2 separate regions of the Mus musculus genome follow, and region 2 is reported to be linked to region 1. The links are microRNA targets in miRTarBase. Many come from high-throughput screens and were not tested one by one. Region 1 holds a microRNA gene; the other region holds the end of a gene's coding sequence.
Evidence for each region. Region 1 holds the annotated microRNA mmu-miR-883b-5p (UACUGAGAAUGGGUAGCAGUCA, at 7,364-7,385, opposite strand). A microRNA usually pairs through its seed, bases 2 to 8, with sites in the 3' UTR of a target mRNA and lowers its output. Matches are read on the target gene's strand: a 7mer-m8 pairs with bases 2 to 8, a 7mer-A1 pairs with bases 2 to 7 and ends in A, and an 8mer does both.

Region 2: the mRNA of Rbm8a is a reported target of mmu-miR-883b-5p. Seed matches in the 3' UTR shown: 7mer-A1 at 5,780-5,786.

The regions. Positions count from the first base shown.
Region 1 is chrX:66,782,573-66,798,207 of GRCm38, forward strand. It overlaps Mir883b (microRNA 883b), which reads right to left and starts at 7,395; the gene lies at 7,318-7,395. It overlaps Mir471 (microRNA 471), which reads right to left and starts at 10,089; the gene lies at 10,023-10,089. It overlaps Mir741 (microRNA 741), which reads right to left and starts at 14,303; the gene lies at 14,233-14,303.
Region 2 is chr3:96,626,503-96,642,137 of GRCm38, forward strand. Rbm8a (RNA binding motif protein 8a) reads left to right here and starts at 3,426. Exons shown (of 6, transcript NM_001102407.1): 1 at 3,426-3,526; 2 at 3,800-3,859; 3 at 3,975-4,052; 4 at 4,364-4,500; 5 at 4,930-5,066; 6 at 5,187-7,289. The coding sequence starts at 3,460. The coding sequence ends at 5,232. It overlaps Pex11b (peroxisomal biogenesis factor 11 beta), which reads left to right and starts at 8,928. Exons shown (of 4, transcript NM_011069.3): 1 at 8,928-9,241; 2 at 10,172-10,287; 3 at 10,629-10,830. The coding sequence starts at 9,186. It also overlaps the pseudogene 6330549D23Rik.

The DNA of each region.
Region 1 (15,635 bases):
CTCTGACATTATTAATGATACTCTGTTATGCTTGCAAACTCTGTTATGCCTTGAGAAGTTCCAACCAGAAGCTAAGTGAATAGATGTAGAGTCCCACAACCAAACATTGAACAGAGGTTTCAGACGACTTATGGACAAGTTGGGGAAAGGACTGAAGGGCCTGAAGGCAACAGGAACACCATAGGAAAACCAAATATGTCTACTAACCTGGACCACTGGAAGCTACTGGAGACTTTTTCACCAACCAATGAGCATACATCGGTTGGACAAAGACCCCTGGCACATATGTAGCAGAGGTCAGCCTTGTCCTGCCTCTGTAGGAGAGGATTATCCTAATTATGCAGACTTGATGAGCCTGGATGAGGGGCAATGGAAGAGGGACTGTAAGGGAGGCAACATGAGATATAAATAAAAAACATGATAAGACCAAATTTAAGTATTATTTATCTATAAATCAATCTTTGTAGAGACTGTGCTAGAAGCAAAACTTCACCTTGTGTGAGGAGCCGCCCTCACATTTGCCATTATAAGATGGCACTGACAGCTGTGTTCTAAGTGGTAAACATAGTCTGCACACATGCAGGGGCAGTTTTCCCACCATGTGTTCTGCCTTTCCCGTGATGACAACTGGGCCGATGGGCTGCAGCCAATCAGGAAGTACTACATCCTAGGTGGAGGATAATTCTCCTTAAAAAGGGATGGGGTTTCGCCATTTGCTTGCTTGCTCTCTTGCACTCTGGCTCCTGAAGATGTAAGCAATAAAGCTTTGCCGCAGAAGATTCTGGTTTGTTGCGTCTTTCCTGGCCGGTCGTGAGAACGCGTTAATAAGAATTGGTGCTGAAACCCGGGATCGAACCAGGGACCTTTAGACCTCTCAGCAATGCAGGCTTAGCGGCTGCCATCCTTCAATCCCAAAAATGCTCCATGGGCAGAAATGATCGGAGGACATGTTTTAACTGCAGAAAGCCTGGGCATCTTAAGAAAGATTGCAGAGCTCCAGATAAAAAGCGGGGAACCCTCACTCTTTGCTCTAAGTGTGGCAAGGGTTATCATAGAGCTGACCAGTGTCGCTCTGTGAGGGATATAAAGGGCAGAATTCTTCCCCCACCTGATAGTCAATCAGCTTATGTGCCAAAAAACGGGTCATTGGGCCCTCGGTCCCAGGGCCCTCAAAGATATGGGAACCGGTTTGTCAGGACCCAGGAAGCAGTCAGAGAGGCGACCCAGGAAGACCCACAAGGGTGGACCTGCGTGCCGCCTCCGACTTCCTACTAATGCCTCAAATGAGTATTCAGCCGGTGCCGGTGGAGCCTATACCATCCTTGCCCCCGGGAACCATGGGCCTTATTCTCGGCCGGGGTTCACTCACCTTGCAGGGCTTAGTAGTCCACCCTGGAGTTATGGATTGTCAACATTCCCCTGAAATACAGGTCCTGTGCTCAAGCCCCAAAGGCGTTTTTTCTATTAGCAAAGGAGATAGGATGGCTCAGCTGCTGCTCCTCCCTGATAATACCAGGGAGAAATTTGCAGGACCTGAGATAAAGAAAATGGGCTCCTCCAGAAATGATTCTGCCTATTTGGTTGTATCTTTGAATGATAGACCTAAGCTCCGCCTTAAGATCAACGGAAAAGAGTTTAAAGGCATCCTTGATACCGGAGCAGATAAAAGTATAATCTCTATACATTGGTGGCCCAAAGCATGGCCCACCACAGAGTCATTTCATTCATTACAGGGCCTAGGATATCAATCATGTCCCACTATAAGCTCTGTTGCCTTGACATGGGAATCCTCTGAAGGGCAGCAAGGGAAATTCATACCTTATGTGCTCCCACTCCCGGTTAACCTCTGGGGAAGGGATATTATGCAGCATTTGGGCCTTATTTTGTCCAATGAAAACGCCCCATCGGGAGGGTATTCAACTAAAGCAAAAAATATCATGGCAAAGATGGGTTATAAAGAAGGAAAAGGGTTAGGACATCAAGAACAGGGAAGGATAGAGCCTATCTTACCTAATGGAAACCAAGACAGACAGGGTCTGGGTTTTCCATAGCGGCCATTGGGGCAGCACGACCCATACCATGGAAAACAGGGGACCCAGTGTGGGTTCCTCAATGGCACCTATCCTCTGAAAAACTAGAAGCTGTGATTCAACTGGTAGAGGAACAATTAAAATTAGGCCATATTGAACCCTCTACCTCACCTTGGAATACTCCAATTTTTGTAATTAAGAAAAAGTCAGGAAAGTGGAGACTGCTCCATGACCTCAGAGCCATTAATGAGCAAATGAACTTATTTGGCCCAGTACAGAGAGGTCTCATGCTGGTTAATCAACTCATAGATCTTGTCCAGATACAACTAGATGTATTATGACAAATAACTCAGCAGGGATGTGAACAAAAGTTTCCGGGATTGTGTGTTATTTCCATTCAGTATGTTAAATTTACTAGGGCAGCTAATTTGTCAAAAAGTCTTTTTCAGTATATGTTACAGAATTGGATGGCTGAATTTGAACAGACCCTTCGGGAATTGAGACTTGCCATCATTCAGGTCAACTCCAAGCGCTTGGACCTGTCCCTGATCAAAGGATTACCCAATTGGATCTCCTCAGCATTTTCCTTCTTTAAAGAATGGATGGGGGTGGGATTATGTGGAGATACACTTTGCTGTGGATTAGTGTTGCTTCTTTGGTTGGTCTGTAAGCTTAAGGCCCAAACTAGGAGAGACAAGGTGGTTATTGCCCAGGCGCTTGCAGCTCTAGAACATGGTGCTCCCCCTGATATATCTATGCTTAGGCAATAGGTCGCTGGCCACTCAGCTCTTATATCCCATGAGGCTAGTCTCATTGCACGGGATAGAGTGAGTGTGCTTCAGCAGCCCGAGAGAGTTGCATGGCTAAGCACTGCAGTAGAAAGGCTCTGCGGCACATATGAGCCTATTCTAGGGAGACATGTCATCTTTCAAGAAGGTTGAGTGTTCAAGTGTCCTTCCCCCAGGAAAAACAACACGGGACCAGACCAGGACCCCTCTGGGTGATGAGCCTGGGAGGAGGTTATGTGTACGGCTCCTTTACCTGCACACTGGGGATTTGACCTCTATCTCCACTCTCATTAATATGGGTGGCCTATTGCTCTTATTAAAAGAAAAGGGGGATCTGTGAGGAGCCGCCCTCACATTTGCCATTATAAGATGGCACTGACAGCTGTGTTCTAAGTGGTAAACATAGTCTGCACACATGCAGGGGCAGTTTTCCCACCATGTGTTCTGCCTTTCCCGTGATGACAACTGGGCCGATGGGCTGCAGCCAATCAGGAAGTACTACATCCTAGGTGGAGGATAATTCTCCTTAAAAAGGGATGGGGTTTCGCCATTTGCTTGCTTGCTCTCTTGCACTCTGGCTCCTGAAGATGTAAGCAATAAAGCTTTGCCGCAGAAGATTCTGGTTTGTTGCGTCTTTCCTGGCCGGTCGTGAGAACGCGTTAATAAGAACCTTGCAGAAATTAACCATATATAAAAATACACCAGAAATAAATTGTCTAAGACCAGCAAATCAAAAGAAGAGGGAAAACACATACCTTAAAAACAGAATAAGAACAACAAACAGTGATCACTGAACATCAGTTGTCTAAATTCCTCAAAGAGAAGATACAGACTTAGTTTGGGCTTGTCAACAGGTTCCATCCTTTCACTATAAGAAACACAATGTGCTGCCTAGTCCTATGTAACTTGACATAAACTAGAGCTATCTGAAAGGAGAGAACCCCAGTTGAGAAAACACATCCAATATATTGAGCTGTAAGGCATTTCATTAGTGATAGACGAAAGAGGGCTCAACACATTGTGGGTTGTGCTTATCCCAGTACAATAGTCCTATGTTCTATAAGAAAGGTGTCTAGGCAAGCTATGGTAAGCAAGCCTTAAAGAAGCATTCCTCATGGCCTCTGCATCAACTTCTGCCTCCAGAAGTTCGTTCTTAAGTTCCTGTCATAACTTCCATTGATTGTGAACAACAATATGCACCTTGTTTTTCAGTTATGGTGTTTCATCACAGCAATAGAAGCCCTAAGACAGGCACTATAGTTAACACCTTATCATCAAGTACAGATATCAACTCAGGATACAAATATGGAAAAAGATTTTTCTAAGAAAATGTGGAAAAAGAAGCAAGCCTGTATAGCTATTTTAATATTGGACAAAATAAACTTAAACCCAACACTAATCAGAAAAATATGGAAGAAAACTATATAGTTATCAAAGGAAAGAATCCACCAAGAGAATATTGCAATTGTAAACATGTAATTAAAATGCTGAAGCTCATAAAGGAAATACAACTGTAGTTTAAACCACATACTGACCCCTACACAGTGATAGTAGGAGACTTCATTATCCCATTTTCATCTCATGAGATCCAGAAAAAATCTTTGATAAAATTTAATATCTATTCATGGGAGACTAGAGATGTAAAAGATATAATACAATATATAATATAAAGACAAATTATAGCAAGTCCACACTAAGCACCAAATAAAGGAGAAAGAAACTCAATGCATTTCTATCAAAATCAGGAACAAGTCTCCATATTTTTCCAATATAATACTTAAAGTCTTAGCTAGAGAAATAAGGCAACTGAAAGAGAGTAAGGGTATATAAGTAGGAAAGGAATAAGCCAAAGTATATTTGCAAATGATATGGTGGTATACATAAATGACCCTAAAAACTCAACTGGGAAACTCCTTTAGCTGACAAACACTTTCAGCCAAAAAACAGTATAAAAACTAACACACAAAAATAAAAGCCCTTCTCTACCCCAATTATAGACTAAGACAGAAATCAGTGAAACAAGATGAACCTCAAAAATACCTTGGAATAGCTGTAACAAAACAAGTAGATCCATGAAATAAAAACATTAATACACTGAAGAAAGAAATAGAATCAGAAGAGGAAAAGTTCTCTTATGTCCTTGGCTTGGTAGTATTAATGATGTGAGAATGCTCATACAATCAAAAGCAATGTACAGATTCAATGCACTCACCATCAAATTTCAAACACAATTCTTCATAGACATTTAAAAGAAAATTTAAAATTTCACATGTACACATAAAATCTCAGGATGATTAAAACATTCCTAACTAAAATGTGCTAGAACTATCACCACCCCTTGATCTCATATTGTACTACAGATCTATAGTAATAAAAGTTTCATGATATTGATATAAAACAGACATATTGATCTATGGAATTGAACTGAAGACCCAGACATATGCCCATACACCTATATAAAATTGATATTTGATAAAGTATCTAGAAATACACACTGGGGGAAAAAAGACAGCATCTTCAAAAATGGTGCTGCTCAAACTGCATGGCTGGATGTCGAAGAATAGAAATAGACCCACACATTAACTTCCACAAAACTCAACTCAAAATAGTTCAAGGACCTTTAACCTAAGTTCATATACACATGATCTGATAGAAGAAAAGTGAAGAATAGTTGAACTCATTGCAGAGGATTTTCTGAACAGAATACTGTGATAGCAAAGGCAGAAAGAATAAAAATTCACATATTATAAAGTACCTGATGCTTATTTAACAGGGAACTTCTACTTCATGTTGAGGAAGATAGGATTCCTTTCAGAAAACCACCAACTATTGCAATATTTTACAACTTCACAGGTATGACTTTCTCACAGAAAAGAGGATAACTGAACCTCATAGTTATTTACTCTTCTATCCTCAGAAATGAGAGTGACAACGTCCTTCAACCTTGCATGTCTGCCCATTCAACCCTGACTACCCAAGACAACAGCAAATGAAGACTATGAAGAGCTTTACTCTACCTTGAATGTTATCTTTCACTTATAGTTCATGCAGTAAATACCATTCTGAGTAGACTCGTTTCCAGAGGATGTATACTGATTTTTTCTAAGCCCCCAGCTTCCATAACATCATCCATATTATTTCAATATCAAGAATAAAGAGGAGTTGCAGTCTATTCTGGTAGGTTTTAACTGTCAACTTGACACAACCTAGAATTATACAATGTAAGAAAGAGCCTCAATGGGCTGGTGAGATGGCTCAGCAGGTAAGAACACTGACTGCTCTTCCGTAGATCCTGAGTTCAAATCCCAGCAACCACATGGTGGCTCACAACCACCTGTAAGGAGATCTGACACCTTCTTCTGGTGTGTCAGAAGACAGCTAGAGTGTACTTATGTATAATAATAAATCTTTGGGCCACAGCAAGCAGGGATTGAGCAAGTGGAGTTGACTAGAGTGAGCAGAGGTCCTAAAATTCAATTCTCAACAACGATATGAAGGTTTACAACCATCTGTAAAACTACAGTATACTCCCATACATTATATATATATATATATATATATATATATATATATATATATATATATATATATATATATATTAAAAAGAGCCTCAGTGAGATGATTTCTACATTAGGTTGGACTATAGCAAAGTCTGTAGGTGATTATTTCAGTTGTTAATTGCATGAGGAAGATCTACCCTGAACACAGATGGCACTATTTCGTAGGCTCAGCTCTGGATTAGGGCTGGAAAGAGATAGGTTAGATAGGAGAGAAAGTTAGAAAACTTCCTGTTCATGTATTAGACACAGTTTTGGTACCTAGCATCTATACTAGGTAGTTTGCTACTGCCTACAACTTAAGATTTAAGAGATTCAACATTTCTTCTAGCTTCTGAAGCCACCATCATGCCCGTGATACATATAAATATATGCAGGAACATAAATATTCATAAAATAAAAGTAAATAAAGGAATTTTTCAAAAAGGGATAGAAACTATCTGACTATTAAGCAAGCAAGGATGTATTTATTCTTTGTTCTTGACTGTGGATGTGATATGACAAAGTCCTTGAGTTCTTGCCTTGAATTCTCCAGAAAGGTTAACTAGAACCTAGAATCATGAGCTGAGATAAATCCTTTCCCTGCTAAATTTCTTTTTTGTCAGGATACTTTATCACTATAACATAAATTAAATTAAAAACACATTCTAATCTTATTTCCTGAGACTCAGAGAGTAACTAATTACTGTTCTTCACTACACATTCTTCTCATAGCATTCCCTACTTCCAAGACTTCAAACTCATTATTATGTTATTATTTTCCATATTAATATATCTTAAGATGTTTCATATTCATATAACACTAGAATTAAAATTATGAAAGCAACAACAAATCTATCATGGGGATGTCTGTTTTAAAGTGACTGCAATGTATCTTGAAATCAAGAAACTCATCCACTGTGTGAAGACTATGTCCATGTGGCTACCACCCTTGTATTTGTTGAACCTTACAATACTGAGAGATGTTGCAGTTACTCATAGTACAAAGTGACTGCTACCCATTCTCAGTAATGCATTGCACACAGAATATTGAGTGAGGAAATTAAGTCTGAAAGAATTAAAAGATATTACAATTTTTTGGACTATCAAGTATACATATATAATAAATTTCTTTCTTCACAATTAAGATAAGAGCAATTATAATCTTCTTTACCTCCATTTAGCTTTCTGAAGCAAGTGATTTATAAACCATTCACATGACTTTTTATTACATTACATTGATATAATATAGTTTATACTTTATATTCTCATGATATGAATAACTGAAAACACAAAGACTACCTAGGTCATTAGATACAAAAGGTTTACATATGGAAAAAACGATTTCAACATTACCTACAGAAATGAAATCATCACTATCCCAAAGACAGATCAAGTGAGGAATATAGTCTTCTTGACTTGAAGGAGATAGGTATTTGTTATAGTCACTTAAAATCTTACAAGCACAATGTATTACAATACCTGTAAGTTACAAAGATATTCCGAAGACCCTAAGATTCAACCACTCCATATTTTTTCCTCTAAGCATTTCCTTTAACACTTGTTCCACTGAATTTTTGTCAAAACCAGAGAGATGAGATTGATTTCATTTTGGTTTTTTACATTATATGTGCTTAGCTTATACTCACTGATTAGTGCAACTCACAGTTCTGATGAAAAGTTGTTTTCTCTTTGTCTCTGTCTCTCTCGATAGGGTTTCTCTGTGTAGCATGGGCTATACTGGAACTCACTCTGTAGGCCAGGCTAGCCTCAAACTCAGAAATATGCCTGCCTCTGCCCACCCCCCAACCAGCCCCCAAATGCTGGGATTAAAGGCATGCACTGCCCAGCAAAAGTTTTTTGTTTTTGTTTTTTAAATAAGACAAAAGGCTATTTTATAAAGAATCACAACTTGTCAAAGTGTAAACTACTGTCTTTTGTACATGATAAGGCTGTTTCACCAACACACTTTCAACAGTTAATGGTTGCTCGTACAAGATTTGCAAAAGACTGATTGAGGAAGGGTCCATAATTCCCATATCTAGTTCAGGCTGCTAAGGGAGAGCTAGTATTTTTTTAAGGATAAGTCCCCTGATCAGTTAGGTGCCCATTCCCAAGTGGTAAGTATGGTCTAAATTATGTACGTGTGCATGAAGGTAATCCCTGCCTCGGGTTTCAGGGATCACATGAAGACAGACATTTGGTGTTTTTTACTCGTTAGAACCATACTGAGGTTAGAGGCATGAGAAACTAAATGCCAGGTAGCTTACACTGTACCACTGGCATATTCTACCATTCTTGTCTCTTGAAGTAATAGGCCACATGAAACTTTATGCCTAGCAACTGGCGTCTAGGTGCAGATTCTTGTTCCTGAGATCATAGGCTGTTCCCAGAGGAAACATGAACTCATTGAAGAATCATTCATCAAGTATCTTCACGACTGAATTTCATATAGTCGCTGAGGCAAGATGAGCTAAACTGAGAAAACACTAAATATAATCCAACTGCCCAGTTAAATATAAATCCAAGAATTATATTTTTACCTTCAAGATGCTACAATAAGTTCATGAGGAATATGGTGAGCATTTTTTTCATCTAGAGAAGAAGTACTTACATCTATTTCTCATGAAGGAATCCAACATAGATGGAATGCCATTGATGTGAAACTTCATGTTAAATTGCAGAAACTTCATTATTAAAATCGTTGCCTTCAGATATCCCATCATTATTTGTAAAACAAGATATTTATACCTTGATTTGATTTAATTGTAAGTTCTAGAGAATAATAAACTCATATCCCTACACCATTCATCTTTCTGAAAGCAGGTTTTTTTACCTGTACAATCTTCAGATGAATGCTTGTCAATACCAAGAACAAAAGCTTGATCATGTTTTCCTTTCTGGAATTATAACCATGGTCATGTCTTTTGCCTTGTTTAATTGTCCTTGTGCCAATTTAGTTTTTCTTAGCTTGACTTTATTAACAGGTCAGATCCAAGAGACCAACAAACCAATAGACAACTGGTTTCCTCCCAAAGTTCAAAGTAAAACCCTATTCTAGAAGGCACCTCACATTTCAGAAACAGGATTTGGAAGAATAAAGATGATATTGGCCTAGACTTTTTCTCTGAGGACTGGCTTTCATGATATCAGAAGTTTCAATGCAAGCTGCCAAGGTAAAGGAACAATTGGAAGTCTTACTCAGGTTTAGAGCCTGCTACAGAAGAACAAACTAGTCACATCTGTCAGAAGAAAGTGAAAAATCAACAAAATCTACCCCAGATATTTTATGACCTCACAATCTTTATAATCTTGAACTCTATAATCATATGTACTGATAGCTCCTATGAAATAAAACTCAATTGCCCTTTCTATTGTATTTCCTACATATTTATAGTAACCTCCTATTTACTAGGATGACTGCCAAAAACAAAACCAATAACATCATATTAATGTTATTTGTTGACATTAAAGTGAAATGTGTCTTCTAGATTTTTATGTTTGTAAATCCATATGTTGTTCCTCAAGGGGATATTGGAGAAATGAAATTATCCTCAGGAAACAAAACCTAGATGAAGAAAACTAGAACCAGAAAACCATTGTAAAGGTATACACTCAAACCATGTTGATGGTATAAAGCAACAACAATTGAGGAACATGGTAAGCCTTCCTATACATAGTATGGCACCTTTCACTTTTTGTTTAATGTGAAAAGCACTATACTACGTAAAGCACTGCTCACAATATTCTTCATATAAACGTATTGCAAATGAGGCCTCTATCATTTACTCTACCACTCATAATATGTTACCTGAATCATTGTCTAATTTATTCTTCAATCTTAGAATATAATATTTATTGTAAAATAGTACACATTCTTATAAGATCATGTCCTTCCTATCTTACCTTCTGTTTATGAGAATTGTTCTCATTTCTAAGATATTAAGCTGATTCCTAATTTTTCTTCCTTATTTTAGTACACTCCTTTAGGTTCTTGATACTTTTTGCCTGTAACCCACAAATTAAAAATAAAGATTATGTCATGAACACATCTTAAATATGTCTGCTATGACAGTGACTACAGAGCATTCTATCATAAAGTAACATACTGTTGGTTTGTGTACATGTACACCACAAAGTCTACATGGTACGCCTGCAAAATTGTATTTGGAGCATGCTAGACATGGAAGAGTGACTTCTGAATAATGCAGAATATAGGACTTGTAGAATGAAGTGTTGCACTTACGATGTGACCATTATAAAATTAAGGCCTACCTGGGAATACACTTTCTGGAGGCACTTATTTCCAACATGTCTCAGAAAGGCATGTGAAGGATAACTGCTGTTACATATTCTAACCAATATGAAGAACATTATGAACTTTACTTTAACCACCATGGTGGTTTTCATAGTCATTCACTTGATAAACACCAAGGTGAATAAAATACAGCCCATAAGAAACTTAACTTCATCTTGAGCTTTCAACATATATGTTCAAGTATAGGGGACTTGCAACATGACCTAACATATTCACAAGTCTTAGTGAATATAGTAGACAATACCTTTTACCATACATGTTCAAAGGGATCCCTCTCACATTCATTTTGTGTCAACAAACCGCTTTGAGTAAGCTTGTTGCCATTTTCTTTTTCAGATTATGGAGTCACTGAAAGTTCTTTCTGTTTTTATTCTTTAAGTTTTTATTTAAAAATTTGTTTTCAAAGAATATACTTTAAGCATGTTAGTCATTTCCAACTCATTCCACAACTTTTTATGTAAAGAAAGCATTTCTCAGATAATTTCCATAATCCCCAAAGACATGTATGAAGACATGTATGAATTCTCCCATAGTAACATGATATAATACTAGTAAATTTCTTTAATATTCTCAGGAAAGGAAATTATACTACCTTTTCCCTTTTCCCTTCTTCTACATGGTTTTATTTAGATCCCATGTAGGAGGAGCTCATTCTTTTGTGCTTCTTCATCTATGTACATTTGCAAGGTAAATTGACAATACAAAATATATCAAGTAACCCTAACTCACCTACTAATATAAAAGTGACCTCAATGTTACTTGAAGTGAAAAGTCACTGCTATTTAAGACTATAAATCAAGTGAGAAACATGATGAATTTTAATAACCCAGAGAGAACCTAGTCAAATGTAGTCCCAGTATTCAGCATGAGACTAACTCCAAAATGTTATTTAACCAATTTTAGCAATAACTTAGCAAAAGCTTCATTATCCCTCTCAAATTTTATCAAATTGCCAATTTACGACAATACCTAAACTATTAAGAGTTATGAAGATCATGCTATCCAAACTGTTTAATTTCTCTTTGCATTTCTCAAAAATGAGAGCTGACGCTTTTCTTAAAGGGAATAAGGATTGCCAAAGAAGAGAATAAGATTTGTACCATATTTTCTTGTATGAACAAGTTCTCTCATGTCCTCTATTTCTTTTTATTCCTCTAATGGAAAAGTATTCATGCTAGGGTAATACTGAGTGATAGAGCATCTCTCATAAAGTATCTGACTAAGCACTCTTAGGACCAAAGCACCTGAGTTTAGGGGTAATGTACCTACAATGACATCACCAAAAAGTTGTATCTACAAACTGCAGTGGGGGAGGCTTACATTAACTCAGAGACACAGAAACAAGGAGAAAAAATAAACTTGTACATTTAAATTTTTATTTTCAGTATCTTAAATGTATACATTTTTCATTACTTAGCAATTTCTGTGACATCTATCACATCATCTATCATCTATCACAGCACAATACCTGAAAATCCATGTATTTTTTATAACTCTGAAGTGATGCCAAATTCTTAACCTCTGAGTCATCTCTCCACCCCAGTGGCAGCCTAGAGAATAAGAAAAGATTTTTACAAACTGCATTATCTGACAGAAGACTAATATGCAAGATATATAAGGAATTTAAAATTACATATAAAAATCCAATTAAAAATAGGGTATAGGTCTAAACAGAAAATTCACAATAACAGAAACTCAAATGAATGAGAAACACCAAAATAAATAAATGTGCAAAATCTTTAGCCATCAGGAAAATTCAAATAAAAACTACTTTGATATTCCATTTTACACCTGTCAAAATGGCTAAATATCAACATGTGACAACGTGATAGAGAAGATGTGGGGCAAAGGAAACACTCCTCCATTGCTAATGGGACTGCAAACTTGTACATCAAAAATAGAAAATATGGTGGTTCCTCAGAAAGTTGGGAACTGATATATCTTAAGATCCAGCTATACTTCTTTTGGGCATATACCTAAAGGATCTTCATCCTACCACAAGGACAAATGCTTAACCCTGCTCATTGCCGATCTATTCATAATAGCCAAAAATTGAAAACAATCCAATTTTTTAAGTGTCCCTCAAACTGAATAAAAAGCCTGTGGTACATTTAAACAATGACGTATTACCTGTTAAGAATGACATCATGAGACTTGCTGGGAAATAGATGGAGCTAGAAAAATAATCATCCTATGAGAGTTTTAAAAAGACCCAGATAGAAACATATGGTAAGCATTTACTTCTACGTGGATATTAGCCAGTGAATAATGATAACCAAACTATAACCTCTTTAGCCAGAGGGGTTACATATAGCAGAGGGAATAGTTTGTAACAATTAATGAAAAAGGACACTGTAAATTTGGAAAGAGCAAGAAGGAATATGGAAAGTTTGTAGGGAAGAACAGGATATAATTATATAATAATCTCACAAAGTAAAAAAAAAAAAAATAAAACCAACAACTTTTTCTATTCTATCACTTTTATCTAGGTAGGATGCTATTGGAGGCACTGTCTGTTATTTAGGGTGGCTCTTCTCATTTGAAATAATCTGACCCTGTTGCCTGTGGCTCATCTATTAGCTGATTCCAAAAAATCAGTCAAGCTGAGAGCAATAGTTAGTCATTATACCATTACTACCTAGAGGTGATCAAACTCATTTGGTTTCTTGAGCCATAACCCCTAGACAAATAAATAAATGTATGCAGTATGTATGTATGTATGTATGTATGTATGTATGTATGTATGTATGTATGCATGCATGTAAAACTAATCTGCAAACACTTAAGCAATGCTGAGTGGAAAAAGTAGCTTTTCACAGGGATAAGCCAGCAAATTAGTTATTTAATACCAAGTAGTCTACCATATTATATACATACTCACATATTTATGTGCACACGTGTACACACACACACACACACACACACACACACAGAGAGAGAGAGAGAGAGAGAGAGAGAGAGAGAGAGAGAGAGAGAGAAAGGGGGCCATATGGGAGAGTGGAGGGTGGGAAGGAAAGTGAGTCAGAATTATATTTTAATTCAAAAACTTAAAATTTCAAAAGAGAAAATACAAATGCTAATATTCTTAATGTCTATTGTGAGAATTCGAGTAGCAGCAAACCTCAAAGTTCACTAAAGAGCATCTAAAATGAACATAAACATCATTATATGCGACATACAGGATGAAACTTACAGTACATGTAGAATGAAACTGTTCTCATTTAAATCAAGTCACCATCAGCATCACAGCATAAAGCAGCAAACAAGAAGCTTATAAAGAATCTTCTTATTATGCCTGGATGCCATGCCCTCTTGCTTATCTGAAAGTCTGATAAAACAAATATAAGACTATATTCATTTTATTTTTTCAGATTAAGAATAAAATTATCAATGTCCATATTTGTATTAACATATCTAAATGTGTTCTGAAGGTTTAAATTAAGTCCTCCTTAGAGGATATAGTTTCTGAAGGCACAAGATCTTAACAAAGATCGGGAAGCATTATACTTAACACTGCAATGATCTTCCAAGGCCACAAAAAAAGAAGAATGTTATGAGCCTTAATCTACATAGAATGGCATCTCTCATGCTTACATGATTTACATGATAGGTACCAATCTACGTAGATCAATGCACATGAGACATTTTATATACTTCTGATAGAAAGCTAGTCTGTCACCTTCAATTAGAAATCATAACTCCACAATTCTTGCATTCTTACCTCATTTAGTAGTAAATCTTAGAGAATACCTACCAATTCTACTATATCATGATTTTCTTTCACATAGTATCATCTTATGTCACCATTTCTATAAATAGTTTTCACTACAGCTAATATTCAGTTTTTTTATTCAAATTAATACATCCAGCACGTTTTACTTACTAAAAATGTTTTTCCCTTACAATATATTCTGATCATGCTTTCACCTATTCTCAGATCTGCCCTACCACCTCACTCATCAACCCCAAACATCTTTCCCTTGATTTAAAAAAAATGAACTAGCAATAACACAAAACTCATCAAAATGAAAGTTAAAGAAAAAGCAAAAATCAGAGAAACAGTTACCATTACAACTATGCATGAAACATATATTTATTATTTCTAAATACTAAGGATAGTAAAACATACTTTTACCTTGTCAATCTTGCAACCTAGCCTATATCATATTCTTTTTTTTTTCCTATATCATATTCTAACACCATGGTGGGAAAGACATGCGTACATAAATTACCTAATTTTTATTTACTTATTTATTTATTTTATTTATTTCCTAACTTAATACCCTCCATTCATATAGTCTCAAAATTATTTGTGAACCAAATGATAGTAAAATATTATCATATAAAAGAATAATATTTCCTACAAGATCAAATGGCCATCTAAAATCCCAGAAGCCCCAAAACTTTAAGTTTTGGAATACCATTTTCATATTCACGAAGCCACAATAAATGAGTAAAGTTTTCTTCCACTTAGAGGTAAACACACATTTATTTCTGTTAATTGGAAAATTATATTCTACTTATAAATACTATAAAACTAGATTAACTTAAGGTTAAAAATAAACCAAAAATGTGAAGTCCCGCTTAAAACTCTTAATTATCACTCAAAATTTATCAATTCACCCTACAGCATAAAATATAAACCTTAATTGTATTTATATGTCCTTATGAAATAATTCTATAGTATTCTTTCCCACATATTTCCATCTAGTTATTATGAGCAGTTATTTGCACGAATGGCTGTCAAAATTGAGATTAAACCAGGAAAAGCTCATGATTCCTCAATCCTACACAAAGAACTATACACAACTAGAAAAGCCAGTATTGGGAGATGTCTCCTAACTCCCAGCACTCATGGAAGAACATTCCATTTGGTTGTCTAGTGCAAAACATTCATCCTGAAAACATACAAACAAGTAACACTATACAGACTTAGCAGAATATATTTAGGAATAAATAGCTA
Region 2 (15,635 bases), not on the chromosome of region 1:
CTGAAGCCCTCATGCTAAGGTTGGCTGAATTACAGCGAAAATTCAAGTCTCAGCCTCAGAGGGGGTCAGCAGTTAAAGTAAGGGCATTAATAGGCAAAGAAAAGGATCCTATATCTTGGGATGGGGATGTGTGGGAGGACCCTGTTGAAACTGAGAACTCTGAATCCTCAGATTCTCAAGGGTTCACCTCACCTGAGGTAGTACTCTCAGCCCCACCCCTTGAAATAACGCCCTTTTCACTTAAGGAAATTAATCCCTCAGAGTCTGATAAACCAGCAGTGACTTTCTCTGATGAAAAAGCCAGACAATACTGACGTTCCTCAAGGCCCACCAACAGTTTCTTCTAGACCTGTAACCAGACTCAAGGCCAAGCAGGCCCCAAGAAGGTAGAAAGTGTAGTCCATGAGGAAATTCGCTATACTAAGGAGCTTAATGAGTTTGCTAATTCATTCAAGCAGAACTCTGGGGATTAAGTGTGGTAGGGATTTTAAGGGTGTGGGATAATGGTGGAAGGAACATAAAACTAGATCAGGCTGAGTTTATAGACATGGGCCCTCTGAGTGGAGATTCTAGGTTGTTTTTTTTTTTTTTTTTTTTTTTTTAGATTTATTTATTTATTATATGTAAGTACATTGTAGCTGTCTTCAGACACTCCAGAAGAGGGCATCAGATCTTGTTACAGATGGTTGTGAGCCACCATGTGGTTGCTGGGATTTGAACTCCGGACCTTCGGAAGAGCAGTCGGGTGCTCTTACCCACTGAGCCATCTCACCAGCCCCAGATTCTAGGTTTAATATGGAAACTCGCACAGTTAAAAAAGGCGTCAGAGGCTGGAGAGATGGCTCAGTGGTTAAGAGCACCGACTGCTCTTCCGAAGGTCCTGAGTTCAAATCCCAGTAACCACATGGTGGCTCACAACCATCCGTAATGAGATCTGACGCCCTCTTCTGGTGCGTCTGAAGACAGCTACAGTGTACTTAGATATAATGATAAATAAATCTTTAAAAAAAAAAAAAAGGTGTCAGAAGTTTGAATGGCTGGCTGAAGCAATTATCAAAAGATGGCCTACTGAGAAGGAGTTGAAGATACCTGATATCCCTTGGCTTAGTGTTGAGGAAGGGATTTTAAGGCTCAAGGAAATTGCAGTACTAGAGTGGATACATTGTGTAAAGCTTAATCCTCCACAATGGGAAGGCCCAGAAAACAGGCCCTTCAGGAATCCTGTAAGACCCAAACTGGTGAGAGGGGCACCAGCACATTTGAAGAGTTTTGTTCTTGTCCTTTTTCTCGTGCCAGACCTTAGGGGTGGAGATGCTGTTGCTCAATTAGATGAATTAAATGCAATGGGTTTAATTGGATCCCGAGGTAACAAGGGCCAGGTGGCAGCATTGAATTACCAGAGACAAGGCCACATACTTAAGTTCTTCTCCACTGAAACCTCTTGGGCCAGGTCTGCACAGTTCAAATAACAGCAACAAAGTCTTTCATAGTCCTACTAACATGGCTCATTAAGCCCCACTTAAAACATTCCATGGCTTTTCAAACCGAAAGTCCCCAAATCCACAATCTTCCAAAAACATGGTCAGGCTATTACCCCAGTTTCTGGTACCAACTTCTGTCTTAGTTAGAGTTTTACTGCTGTGAACAGACACCATGACCAAGACAACTCTTTAAAAGCAAAACAGGAGCTGAAGAGATGGCTCAGCTGTTAAGAGCACTAACTGCTCTTCCAGAGGTACTGAATTCAAATCCCAGCAACCACATCGTGGCTCACAACCATCTGTAATGACATCTGATGCCCTCTTCTGGTGTGTCTGAAGACAGCTACAGTGTACTTACATATAATAGATAAATAAATAAATCTTAAAAAAAAAAAAAAACCAGAATTCCCCCCCCCAAAAAAAAAAAAACAACAACAAAAAAAAACCAAACTGGGTTGGAGAGATGGCTCAGTGGTTAAGCGCACGGACTGCTCTTCTGGAGGTCCTGAGTTCAAATCCCAGCAACCACATAGTGGTTTACAACCATCTGTAATGGGATCTGATGCCCTCTTCTAATGTGTCTGAAGACAGCTACAGTGTACTCAAATAAATAAAAAATAAACAAACAAAAAAAACCACCTGAGCGGGGAAGTGGTGGCACATGCCTTTAATCCCAGCACTTGGGAGGCAGAGACAGGCGGATTTCTGAGATCGAGGACAGCCTCGAAATACAGAGTGAGTTCCAGGACACCCAGAGCTACACAGAGAAACCCTGTATTGAAAAGAAAAAAAACAAAAACAAAAACACCTGAGATGGTTCTTCTCAGTTGTCAGGCTTACTCTCTCTGGAATGAACTACAAATCCAGAAATGAGGGGCACACCTGTGATTTTCTGTTTGGTGGAGTGGGTAGATCCACTTCTAGTCCAGACTTTAGGTAGGAAAGAACACCTCTGAGCTACATCTAGAGGCAGGAAGACACAGGCTTTTCTTTAATCTTTTGTTTGTTTGTTTTGTTTTTGTTTTTGGAGACAGGGTTTCTCTGTGTAGCCCTGGCTGTCCTGGAACTCACTCTGTAGACCAGGCTGACCTCGAACTCAGAAAGCTGCCTGCCTCTGCCTCCCAAGTGCTGGGATTAAAGCGGGCAGGCACACCTTTAACCTGGGCCACACCTTTTGCTGAAGCCTATATAAAAACATGGATGAAGGAAACTTTTGCACTTTGCCTTGCTCATAAGTCCGTTTCTTCACCGGCACTGGAGCCTACTTTTTCTGGATTCTAGACCAGCTGAGACATCCAGCCTTGTGGAACTAAGCAAATACTAGATTCTTCGACTTTCTGGACACATCTAGTTATTCTCCAATTAGCTGGACTGCAGCCCGTAAGTCATTTCAATAAACCCATATATGTAGATATGTATCAAAGGATTTCTTGCTAGTTGAAAGTTTTATGAGAAAGTCACTGACTTCACTCACCCTTTAAATTTGCCCCAACGCGGCTGCGCTCCGGACCTTCAATCTACCTGATCAACTTGGCTGTAGAACTTCCGAAACCACTTTATTTTACTTTTTATGTTTTTGAGAAAGGGTCTCATTCTGTAGCCTTGGAGCCCGGCGTGGTAGCACAGGCTTTTAATCCCAGCAGCATGTGGAAGGGGAATATAGTTGGATATCTGTAACTTCGAGCCCAGCTAGGGCTATATAGAGAGACCCTGCCTCAAAAGAAAAGAAAACAAAACACAATCACAAACCATGTAGCCTACGGCCTCATACTCGCAGAGCTCCATCGGGGTCCCAGAGTGCTGGACGTTTCTAGCGCTTCATAGTGGGGCCGCCTACATTGGCGAATTTTCACCGCGCCGAGGGCGGGACTTGGAGGCAACCTTTAATTGGTCAGCCTAACTCGTGACGTTTTTCTTCTGCGACAGCTTCCCGAGGTGCTTAGCTTCTAGAGACTCAGAAAGCGCCGAGAGAAGCAAGATGGCGGACGTGCTGGATCTTCACGAGGCGGGGGGCGAAGATTTCGCCATGGATGAGGATGGGGACGGTGAGGAGAGTGGAGGCGACTGCGGGAAGAGGGGAAGGTGCGAGAGGGGAATGCAGTAGAAATTTTCCTGGGACGTCACCCCACGAACTGGGTCTGAAAAGATAGACTCCTCCCCCTTGGGAAAGGAATTAGGGGCGGAACTGGGAAGGGACTGAAGCTGGAGTCTGTGTCGAAGCTTCCAGATAGTCTAGGAAACGCGACAGGTTTTTTTTGTTTTTTTTTTCAAATGACTCTTATTTTTGTTGCTTCTTATTTTCTCACCTGGAACTCTAGAAAGCATCCACAAACTAAAAGAAAAAGCAAAGAAACGGAAGGGCCGCGGCTTTGGCTCCGGTGAGTGTGGGGAATAGGGTAGAGTGGTCTAAGAGGCAGAAGCCCGCGAATTTGGGAGTGTGAGGGGGACACATTTGGAGGACAGTTTTCGGTGATCTGGTATGAATTCTTTTAGAAGAGGGGTCCCGAGCGCGGATGCGGGAGGATTACGACAGTGTGGAGCAGGACGGCGATGAACCTGGACCACAGCGCTGTAAGTAAATAGGACCTATGGGGAGTCTGTGTGCACTGGCACTCAAATGCAAAGTAAAGAGTTGTTTAACCAGTCTCAGAAAATTGCTTATTGTAGGTTCTTTTCAGAATTTTTCTTTTTTAGTTTGTTTGGTTTTGGGTTTTTTTGTTGTTGTTGTTTTGGATACAGGGTTTCTCTGTTAAGCCCTGGCTGTCCTGAAACTCTTTTTGTAGACCAGGTTGGCCTCAAACTCACAAATCTGCCTGCCTCTGCCTCCTGAATACTGGGCTTTTTAGCTTACATGTTCATACAACACTTTCCCTACCCAACAGCTGTTGAAGGTTGGATTCTCTTTGTCACTGGAGTCCACGAAGAAGCCACTGAAGAAGATATCCATGACAAATTCGCTGAATATGGGGAAATAAAAAATATTCACCTTAATTTGGACAGGCGCACGGGATACTTGAAGGTAGATTTTCTTGCTTCCCTCACTTACAACTCTTAGATACATTGATTATGTTGTTTTTGTGAGTTGATCAAGCACAGGTAGGAAGTGAAATGACATTGGAAATTGATTTTGTTACCCACATGAAAGAGACAGAAACAGAATGAGCATGTTTGTGTATATAATGGGGATATGTGGTGTATAGCTGCGAAATTTTTCTTGTAACTATGCATTTCTGGTTTAAGGAAAAGAGTACTTGGTTGGTGAAGTAAAATTCTGATACTTTTTGTTGTTTGTTTGTTTGTCTTGAGACAGGGTTTCTCTGTATAACAGAGCCCTAGCTGTCCTGGGCTCACTTTGTAGACTAGGCTGGACTCTGCCTCTCTAATGCTGGAATTAAAAGTGTGTGTGTGACGCCTGGCTAAGCTTTGATACTTTTATATGCTCCCCTAGGGGTATACTCTAGTTGAATATGAAACATACAAAGAGGCTCAGGCTGCCATGGAAGGACTAAATGGTCAAGATTTGATGGGGCAGCCAATCAGTGTGGACTGGTGTTTTGTTCGTGGACCACCAAAGGGCAAGAGGAGGTAAGATGAAGGGATGGGGGTTGTACATTTATTTATCTTAGTAAAGGGAACATGAGCAAGATAAATAAGGATTCAGTATTAGATCTCTGATATTCCCCTTCTGTTTTTTCATTTTCTTAGAGGAGGCCGAAGACGAAGCAGGAGTCCAGACCGGAGACGCCGTTGATAAATCCTCTGTCGACTGGGTGGTCTCTCTACAAGTCCATTTGGTTATGCTGCCTTGGATAAACAGGGCTAGGGCGGACCTTGTGTTTATATTTAATTTCTTACCCTATCTACTTGGCATTGCTTTTGAGTTTTAGAAAAAAATAAATGTTCCATTTTGTTTTCTATGTTTATTACTTTACTGTTCTGGAAACTGAACAACTACAGTGGGGCATTGTGAATGATTGTGAAGATCCTTCTGTCTGGCGTGGCATTCTAAGTTTCTAGAAAGGCTCATGGAGACTGTTCAGCATTTCTTTGTCTTAGAAGATAAGGGTAGGGATAATGAGATTTTTCTTGTGGAATTAAGGAATGTATTTTGCATAACTCTTGTGAGCAGATGTTATATTAGTGTCTCTTGCTTCTCTGTCAGAGCCTGTGCAGCTGGCCTTGAACTTCAGGGGCTTTGTGATGCTTAGCCTACTCTATGTTGAATATGGTGCTGAACTGTGAAGTTTATTAGTTCTTACAATGTAAAAGAAACCCAGCTTGATGGGCTGGAGAGATGGCTCAGTAGTTAAGGGCACTGACTGTCCTTCCAGAGGTCCTGAGTTCAATTCCCAGCACCCACATGGTGGCTCACCATGGGATCCCATGCCCTCTGAAGATAGCTACAACATACTCATATAAATAATTTTTTTTTTTAAGAAAAAAAACCCAGCTTGGGTACTATGTAACAATATGCACACCTTTAATCCCAGCACTTGGGAAGCAGGTGGATCTTTTGGTTTAAGGCCAACCTGGTCTACAGGAGAGTTTTAGGATAGCCAGGGCTGCACAGAGAGATCCTGTCTCAAGAAAAAAAGACATTGCTATCCCTTTATCATAGGGTTTTGGTTGTTTTTTTTTTTGGGGGGGGGTTTTGTTTTTTTTTTTAATTTTTCTGAGACAGGGTTTCTCTGTGTAGCCCTGACTGTCTCCCCTGTGCCTCCCAGGTGCTAGGATTAAAGGCGTGCACCACCACTGCCCGGCTTTTATCATAGTTTTTAGTTGAAATTATTTTTTGGTATGTCTGTAGCAGCTGGTTTGTTGTTTGTGTAGGTCCCTATGTGACCCACACTGGCCTCAGACTGATGTTCCTGTCTCTCTCTCCCCAGTGCATAATGGCAAATATTAAACTTAACGTTTTTTCAGATGCTATTGGCCCTTCTCTTCCTTTTGATAAATTGCTTGGGGTTTGAATTGAATTGGTTAAGAATATATCTTAGTTGAGATTTGCAGGGTTTAGGATGCCTTGGTGGTTTCTGAGAAGGTAGATTAAATAAGTATTGGTTTTGTGGAAGATACGCCTGGTTCTCAGATTTCTAGCTGTTGTAAGGTATTTGGAAGAGTGAGTTGAGTAAGCATGAGGTCCTGAGGGCTGGTAAACAGTATCAGCCAGAGAACCAGTAGGTGAGCTGCCTGGATAGGAAGGGTATGGTCACGTAGTTGGGAAGATGCTCTTCTGGCTTTACTCTGAGAAATAAGAATAGCTCATAGGGATTAGAGATGTGGCTCAGTTGGTAGAATGACTGCCTAGTATGCACAGCCCCAGGCTTTATAACAGGACCAAATGGGTACGACACTCCTGCCTTTGATCCTGGCACTTACTGGGGAGGTGAAGGCTAAAGAATCATAAGTTGAAGTCATCCCCAGCTGCATAGCCAGGTGGAGGATTAGCCTATGAGATCTTGTCCTGGGTGAAAGGGGATGGAAAGGGGGGAAACCTCATCAATTTACTGTGTGACCTTCTAACTCCCCTTCTTTATACAGAACTTAACCATGTACAGTAGAAACCCTCTTTAACATACTATGACTTTAAAACTTGAGCTTAAAGAAGTAAGCAATTTCTTGGGGCTGGTGAGATGGCTTAGCGGGTGGGTAAGAACCACCTCTTCCAGAGGTCCTAAGTCCAAATCCAGCAACTACATGGTAGCTCACAACCACCTGGAATGAGATCTGATGCCCTCTTCTGGTGTGTCTAACGTCTGCTACAGTGTACTTACATATAATAATAAATAAATCTTTAAAAAAAGGCAATTTCTTACTATTCCTAATGTCATTCTTTATACCATAAAATTTTCAAATTTTGGCTGGTACACGCCTTTAATCCCAGCACTCAGAGGAGGCAGAGGCAGGCAGATTTCTGAGTTCAAGGCCAGCTTGGTCTACAAAGTGAGTTCCAGGACAGCCGGGGCTATACAGAGAAACCCTGTCTCGAAAAAAAACAAAAAAAGTAAAGTGAGGATGTCAGATATATTGGAGTTAGAAACAGTTGTGAGCTGGAAGAGCAGACTGTACCCTTAACCACTGAGCCATCTCTCCAGACTCCTCCCTCACCCCCACCCCACTTTCTTTCTCCAGGCTGGTCTGGAACTCACAAAGAAAGATCTACCTGCCTCTTCCTCCCAAGGCTGGTATCAAAGGCATGCACCACCACTACACAGTGGTTTTGGTTTAAATATCTAATGAGGTTTTTGCCTGCATGTATGTTTATATACTATCTGTGTTCCTGGTGCCTGAGAAGATTAGAACAGGGCTCCAGAGCGTCTGGAACAGAAGTTACAGATGCTGTGAGCTGCTATGTGGATGGGGGATTCAATCTGTCTTCTGGAAAAGCAGCCAGTAGAAAAGCAGCAGAGCCAACTCCAGCCCTAGATTTCTTTTTATAGTGGTTGTAGAGATCTTGTTTGTGATATTGTAGGTTTTTTGTTGTTTTGGTTTTTTTCCTCCTCACAACTATAGTCAGGCTATTGCTGCTACAGGCAAGTTTTTTTTGTTTGTTTGTTTTTGTTTTGTTTTTCAAGACAGGGTTTCTCTGTGCAGTTCTGGCTGTCCTGGAACTCACTCTGTAGACCAGGCTGGTCTCAAATTCAGAAATTTGCCTGCCTCTGCCTCCCAAGTGTTGGGATTAAAGGCGGGTGCCACCATGCCCGGCTTCGCTTTTTTTTTTTTTTTTTTTTTTAAATAATGTGTAAAGGTGTAAAAGTGTTTTCCTTGTGTACCATGTTCATGCCTGGTACCTGCTGAGGTTTGAGAAGGGTGTTGGATCCCCTGGAGTTTACCCCCCTACTGCCTCTCCCCATCCACTTCATTTCTCTTCAGAAGAAGGCAGGTCTCCGTTAGGTATCAACAGCATGGTATATTAAGTTGCAGTAAGACTAGGCACCTTCTTTGATTAAGTCTTTCATGAGGCAACACAGCAGGAGGAAAGGGTCCCGCAGAATCAGAGACAGCCCCTGTTCCCGCTGTTAGAAGTCCCACAAGAAGACCAAACTACACAACTATAGCATGTGCGAAGCAGTCTCATGCAGGCTCCCTGTAGCAGTTCAGTCTGAGCCCCTATGGGCCCAGTTTACTTGACTCTGTGCATTTTCTTGTACAGTCCTTCCCCTTGTCTTATGCAAAATTCTCCAAGGTCTGCCTAACTTTTGGCTGTGGGTCTGTGCCTTTGTTTCTACCAGTTGCTGTGTGAAGCCTCTCTGATGACAATTGGGCTAGGCACCAATCTTTGAGTATAGCAGACCATCGTTGTCAAGCGGCATCTCATTACATCCGCTTTCCCTAGGACAAATAGTCTAGGACAGGCTTCTGCTGTTCTGGGCGTTTGGGGCGGGTGGCGTGTGCGCCTTGGCGGCAACCTACAGCGCCTCCTGGCTCCCGCAGGCCCCACCCCTTGCTGCTGAGAATTTAAAGCAGAATGTGCTCCTAGGGGCGTGCTTAAAAGCCGGAGACCATCCCAGAGAAGGGTGAGCTGCCGGAAATGCACCCACGATCTCGCTTCGCGTCCTGAAATTCCACTTCAAGGCCGGCTCCGGCTGCTTGGCTTTCCTGCCGCCGTTTGTCCCTCGCGAAGCCCCGTTGCTCGCCCAGGAGGCGTGACTTGGGGCTGGAAGCAGGCGGGCCGCTGCGCCGTGGGCCCGGGCTGCCGCTGTCATGGACGCCTGGGTCCGCTTCAGTGCTCAGAGCCAAGCCCGGGAGCGGCTGTGTAGGTGCGGCCGACGGAGGAGCGCGGGCGGGAGGGCAGAGCAGGGTCCCGCGAGGCGACGGGCGCGCTACGGGGTCCCTAAGGGTCAGCTGTGGCTACGGGGGCCCGCGCGGCCCCGGAGGCGTACTCCGCAGCCGGTTGTGAGATGATTCTTCCCTGCTCAAGGGAAAGATGGGGAAACTGAGGCATGAGTGGGCCAGCGGGGAGGCCACCTAGGTTTACTGTGTCCACAGAGAGCAACAGTTTCCTCGCTGCTGTGGTGGCACGAGGGGCGATCCTCTCGGTTCTGCGTCCTCTCACCAGTTGTGACCTAGGAGCCTCGCTATCTCGGCTCTTCTTCGGTTTCCATCAGTCCAAGAACCTTAATCTATCTCTTAGTTTACCTACCCGGAGAACTAATCTGCCCTTCAACTAGATCTTCCTCTGTCGTGTTTCATGTATAAAATCGCAGTGTGGACGTCTGCGATGAACCCCGGGCTGCTTACTGGCCCTAAACTTTAGGCCTCATCATTTTCAAAACTCTTAGTCTCTTAACTCCAAAGAGTGCTCTCCACCATCTTCTAGGCTTTATTTTCCTCGCATGTCTTTCCCTTCCCCTGGCTTTGAGGAAAAAAATGGAAAGATATTGGTGTGAAACCGAGGAAGTGTCCCTGGTGGGGTTTTTGTTTACCAATTATTATTTGTCTGAGTGTTTGGTCTGCAAGAATGTATGTGTACCACATGTGTGTCTAGTGCCTGCAAAGGACAGAAGAGAGTGGTGGATCCCTGGAACTAGAGTTACAGACAGTTATGAGCCACCGTGTGGGTGCTGGGAGTGGAACCCGGGTCCCCTGCAAGAGCAAGTGCTCTTAACCGCCTCACCAGCCCACGGAGGATATGGTTGGCAGAGGGGTTAGGGAGGCCTGTCCCTTACTCTACGTGTCCTCCCCTCCAGGGCCGCCCAGTATGCCTGTTCCCTTCTCGGCCATGCTTTGCAGAGACATGGGGCTAGTCCCGAGTTACAGAAACAGATTCGACAACTGGAGGGTCATCTGAGCCTCGGACGAAAGTGTAAGTAAAGCAGACCTTCCTCTTATCATCCTCAGCTGGTAGCCCATGGCCTCTCCTCCCGTTCTGCCAGTTCGCCATCATTTGCCACTCTCCTGCATGCCTCCAGTTGAGGTCAGAGAACAGGTATAAGGAAGTTAGCACTGATTGGAAAAACACGGCACGAGAACACTAAACTGGCACAAAAATGAATTACGATTGGAAGTTAAGAAAAAGAACAAATTATTTTTACTCTTTCTTCCTGTATGTTATTATTGCTTGCTCAACTTTTATTTTTCTCTTCCCCACCCCCACCCCTGCCTCTGGACTTCAAACCCTTGCTTTCCCTTGTTAATCTCTACAAGTGCTACGCCTGGGGAACTCAACAGATGCCCTGGAGTCAGCCAAAAGGGCTGTGCACCTGTCAGATGTCGTTCTGAGATTCTGCATCACTGTCAGTCACCTCAACCGAGCCTTGTACTTTGCCTGTGACAATGTCCTATGGGCTGGAAAGTCTGGGCTAGCTCCCCGAGTGGACCAGGAAAAGTGGGCACAGCGTTCATTCAGGTTGGTTTTCCTTTTATCCTACAAGACTATGTGTAGCCTTCATTCTGCAAAGCTTGCAAAGCTTGCATCGCTTGTAATAGTAAACATTTTGCTTTACACATATGGGTATTTTGCCTGCATGCCTGTGTACCATTTGTGTGCCTGGTGCTGGCAGAGGCCAAAAGAGGGCATCAGAATTGTAGTTCTAGATGGTTGTGAGCTGTCATGTGGGCTCTGGGAATCAAAACCCAGGTCCCAGGGAAGAGCAGCCAGTGCTTTTAACCACTAAACCATCACTCTAGACCCATATATTTACATTAATAAAAGTTACTATTGTAGGTGCTGCACATCTGTAGGTCAGACAACAGCTTTCAGTTGCTGGTTTTCTCCTACTGTGAGTTCCAGGTATCAAACTCAGGTTGAGAATAAAACTCAAGCCATTAGGTTTGCGTGGCAAGAGCTTCCACCTCCTGGCCCAGCTCCACTTCCATCCTCCTGGTCCATAACCTGCTATATATGAGACAGAGGGGTCTCAGGATTTTTTTTTTTTTTTTGAGTGTACAATGACTTTTCACGCCCATTGTTCCCACATCTGCTGATTCAAGCAACCACAGGCTGGAAATGTTGAGGGGAAAGTGCATCTGAATTAAACATGAAAATTGTTTGTGTCGTTATTCCTTAAACATTGCACATATATTGTATGAAATATTATAAACAATCGAGGTGGATACAGAGAATTGTGTGGAGTATGTATAGATGCAATACCACTTTATCTAAGGGACTTGAGCAGCTGTGGGTTTGGGTAGAATTGGATGGGCGAGCAGGGGGAAAGATCCTGAAGTTGATCCTCCATGGATGAACTGACTGTAAATTATTTGTTTACTTTTTTTGTTGTTTTTTTAATTTTTCAAGACAGGGTTTCTCTGAGGGATGTGGCATTACCACTCTGTATGGAGGACACTTTGAAAGGGTTGGTTCTCTCCTTCCACCACTTAGATCTCAAGATTGAACTCAGGTCATCACATTTGGTGACAATGCCTTTTTCCTGCTGAGTCATCTTGTGTGGTGTTTTTGTTGTTTGTTGTTTTGTTTTGTTTTTAGGTAGGTCCCACTATGTAGCCCAGTCTTGCCTGAAACTTAGGATTCTCCTGCTTTAGGTGCCCGGGTTCTAGGACAGCATTACAGGCATGTGATACCATGTCTAGCTTCTTTTTCTTTTGCGATAATGGGGTCGGGGTCCCATAGGACTGAGATAACACAGTTCTTCTATAAGCATGAAGACCTGAGTTTGATTTCCCAGAACCCATGTTAAGAAAACAAAACCAAGAACCAGGCATACTGACACATTCTTGCAATTCCAGCAGTGTGGAGTTAAACTGGACAATTCCTAAGGCTCTCTGGCCGGCCAGCCTGGGAAAATGAGCAAGTTCCAGGCCAAGTGAGAAAATCCTGTCTCAAAAACAAAGTGGATAGCACCTGAGGAGAGACCCCCAGGTTGAACTCTGGGCTTCACATATGTGTATACACACATATACGTATATACCCATGCATGTTGTACCTCCACACATGAAAGAGATGAAATCTTGGTTTGTTGCTCAGGCTGTTACAGAATTCCTAGAAGCATCCTCCGACCTTGGCCACCCTAGCAGCTGGGACTCCATAAGCACGTGCCACTCTCACTGTGCTTGGATTTTCCAGAAACGTTTCTCGGTTTCTTACTATGGGCCAGGAGGTTAAGCAAAAGCCAGACAAATGTGGTGCCTGATCCTTGAAACATAAAGTTTAAGATGACCCAGTGAGTAAAAACCAGCAAACCTGATGTCTTAGTTAGAGTTTATTGCTGTGAAGAGGTCACGGCCAAGACAGTTCTCATAAAGGCAAACATGTAATTGGGGCTTGCTTACAGTTTCTGAGGCTCAGTCCATTATCATGGCAGGAAGCATGGCAGCCTGTAGTCAGACATGGTGCTGGAAGAGCTGAGAGACATCTTGATGCAAAGGCAGACGCAGGAGACCCCCTCTTCTGTACTTGGCAGAACTTGAGCACTAGGAGCCCAGCACCCACAAGGCAGCTCAGAACCATCTGTAACTCTCAGTTCTAAAGGACTCTGATGCCCTCTTCTGGCTTCTGCAGGCACTGCATGTACATGGTGCACAAGACATGGTACCTGAGGCTAAACTATATACATAAAACAAAGAAATCTTAAATAAAAAACCTAAAGCAGATAATCACTCACAACAAACAGCAAACAGACCAGTGGGAAACCCTGTCTCCAGAAATAAGGTAGGCAGTACCAGGAATTGGGTTTGAGCTTGTCCCTTTGGTCTCCATCTCAGGCACATGCATGTGTACCTGCCTATACTTTCATCTACACACAGGAACATACACACACGCACATGCACACATGCCACGTGTACACACATGTGCACACACACGGCTTTAGTGATTATGAAAAGAATGATACATGGTTACATTAAAGGGCTAAGGGTGTAGCTGAGGTATCTAGGGTTGATTCTTATTAGATAAGACTAAGGGTGAGCCAGGCAGTGGTGGCGCATGCCTTTAATCCCAGCACTTGGGAGGCAGAGGCAGGCGGATTTCTGAGTTCAAGGCCAGCCTGGACTACAGAGTGAGTTCCAGGACAGCCAGGGCTACACAGAGAAACCCTGTCTCGGAAAACTAAAAAAGGAGGGGAAGTGGATACTTTTAAGAGCAGATGTAATGCTGTGATTTACATTCATGCTCCTAGCTTCTTTATCAACAGCAGCAGTCAGGGTAGGGCGAGAATGGCCACAGAGAGACTCTGTAGCTAGAGTAGATTAAAAACAAAAACAGGCTGCAGAGGTGTCTAAGTCATGAAAAGTGGTTGTTGCAGATAAGCACAAGGATCCACAGCATCCACATAAAGTCAGGTGCACTGCTCATGCCCGAGAGCCTGGTACTGCGCTGCCCGGAGGTGGAGAAAGGAGGATGCCAGGGTCTTATCCGACAAGTGGGGCTCCAGGTTCAGTGAAAGACCTTGCCTCAGGACATGGCAGAGCACAGTAGAGGAGAGCATCTGATGTCTACCTCTGACCTCTGTATATGCATACCTTGTAACACACACACACAAATGCACACACACAGGCTTTAAGACTTAGCTAATGTATACCTGCAATCCCAACACTAAAAAGATTTAGACAGGAAAAAAAAATTCATGGCCAGCCTGAACCACATAGTGAAATACATCCTGTCTCAAACCAAAATAACAAAAATGTAAAAAGTTTTGAGCTGGACCAAGTGTGGTGATGCAGGCCTTTAATTTCTACACTAGGAAGCAAAGGCAGAGGGAATCTCTGTGAATTTGAGGTATGCCTACTCTATATAGTGAGTTCCAGGTCAGCCAGAGCTACAGAGTAAGACTCTGTTCCAAAAAGTATATTTATTTTCTGCTTAAAAATTTATAATCGGGGCTGGAGAAATGGCTCAGTGAGTAAGAGCACTGACTACTCTTCCAGAGTTCCTGAGTTCAAATCCCAGCAACCACATGGTGGCTCACAACCATTTGTAACAGGGATCCGATGCCCTCTGCTGGTGTGTCTGAAGACAGTGACAGTGTACCCATATACATGAAAGAAATATAAATCTTAAATTTAAAAAAATTTTTAAAAATTTATAATCTAGTATCTCTAGCAGTTACTGGATATATCTGGACCTTTGCAGAGTTCTTTGATTTTTTTTTTTCTAAGAGATTGGATCTAAAGTCTGTATAAGTATGTTTTCTTCTCTCTTTCTTGAGGCAGGGTCTCATGTGGCTCAGGTTGTCCTTGAAGTCCTGATCCTAAATGTTGACATCATAGCTATGCACCACCACTTCAGCCTGTAACTAACTCTAATACTAACTCCCCTGTCTCTCTCTGTCTCCTCTCTGTCTCTGTCAGTCTGTCTCTCTCTCTCTTTCCCCCTCTGTCCTCTGTCTTTTGGCTTTTTGAGACTGGGTTTCTCTGTGTAGCTTAAGCTGTCCTGGAAATCCCTCTGTAGACCAGGCTGGCCTTGAACTCAGAGATTGTATGTGTCTCTTGTACAACTAAATGTGTGCTTTCAAAATAGTTTGCATTACTAGGGTCAAGTTAAGTGTATTTTTTTCCCTCAGTGTGTGTGTGTGTGTGTGTGTGTGTGTGTGTTTGCACAAGTGTGTGCAAATGTCTGGGCACATGTATGCATCTAGAGGCCCACGGTTGGCTTTGGAATTTTCCCTCTGTCTTTCTCCACTGTATTCATCGACACAGGGTCTTTCAGTTGAGCCCAGAGCTCACCTACACAATGCTAGTCTGACTAGCCTCCTTGTTCTGGGAGTCCCTGTCTTCATGTCTACCAGCATTGACATAGACTCTGGGATCTGAGCTTAGGGCCTCAGTCTTGCATGGCAAGCACATGACCACTGCCATCTCTCCAGTGCAGAGTGTGGTGCATCAGACAGATTGTCTCAAAAACGGAATTTGGAGTTGATCTTGGCAGATTTCATGACTCATAAATTTTAAACCAGGACCTTAAGGTGCACATAAGCACATTGTAGACTGGCAGGAAAGTTGCTTTTTCTTTATTATTTCAGAGATATAATTATATGAATTTAAGCATACAGTGTGGTGTTTTGTATATGTATATGGTGAGGTGATCACCAGAGTCAGGAGTGCAGCATCCTTCTAATGGGGTGGGAGAGATGACACAGCAATTAGGAATACTAGCTCTTCTTCCAGAGGGGACCGGCTCAACCCCAGTGTTTCTCCAGTTCCAGCTGGTCTCATGCCCTCTTCTGGCCTTCTTGGGTGGCAGGCATGCACATAGTG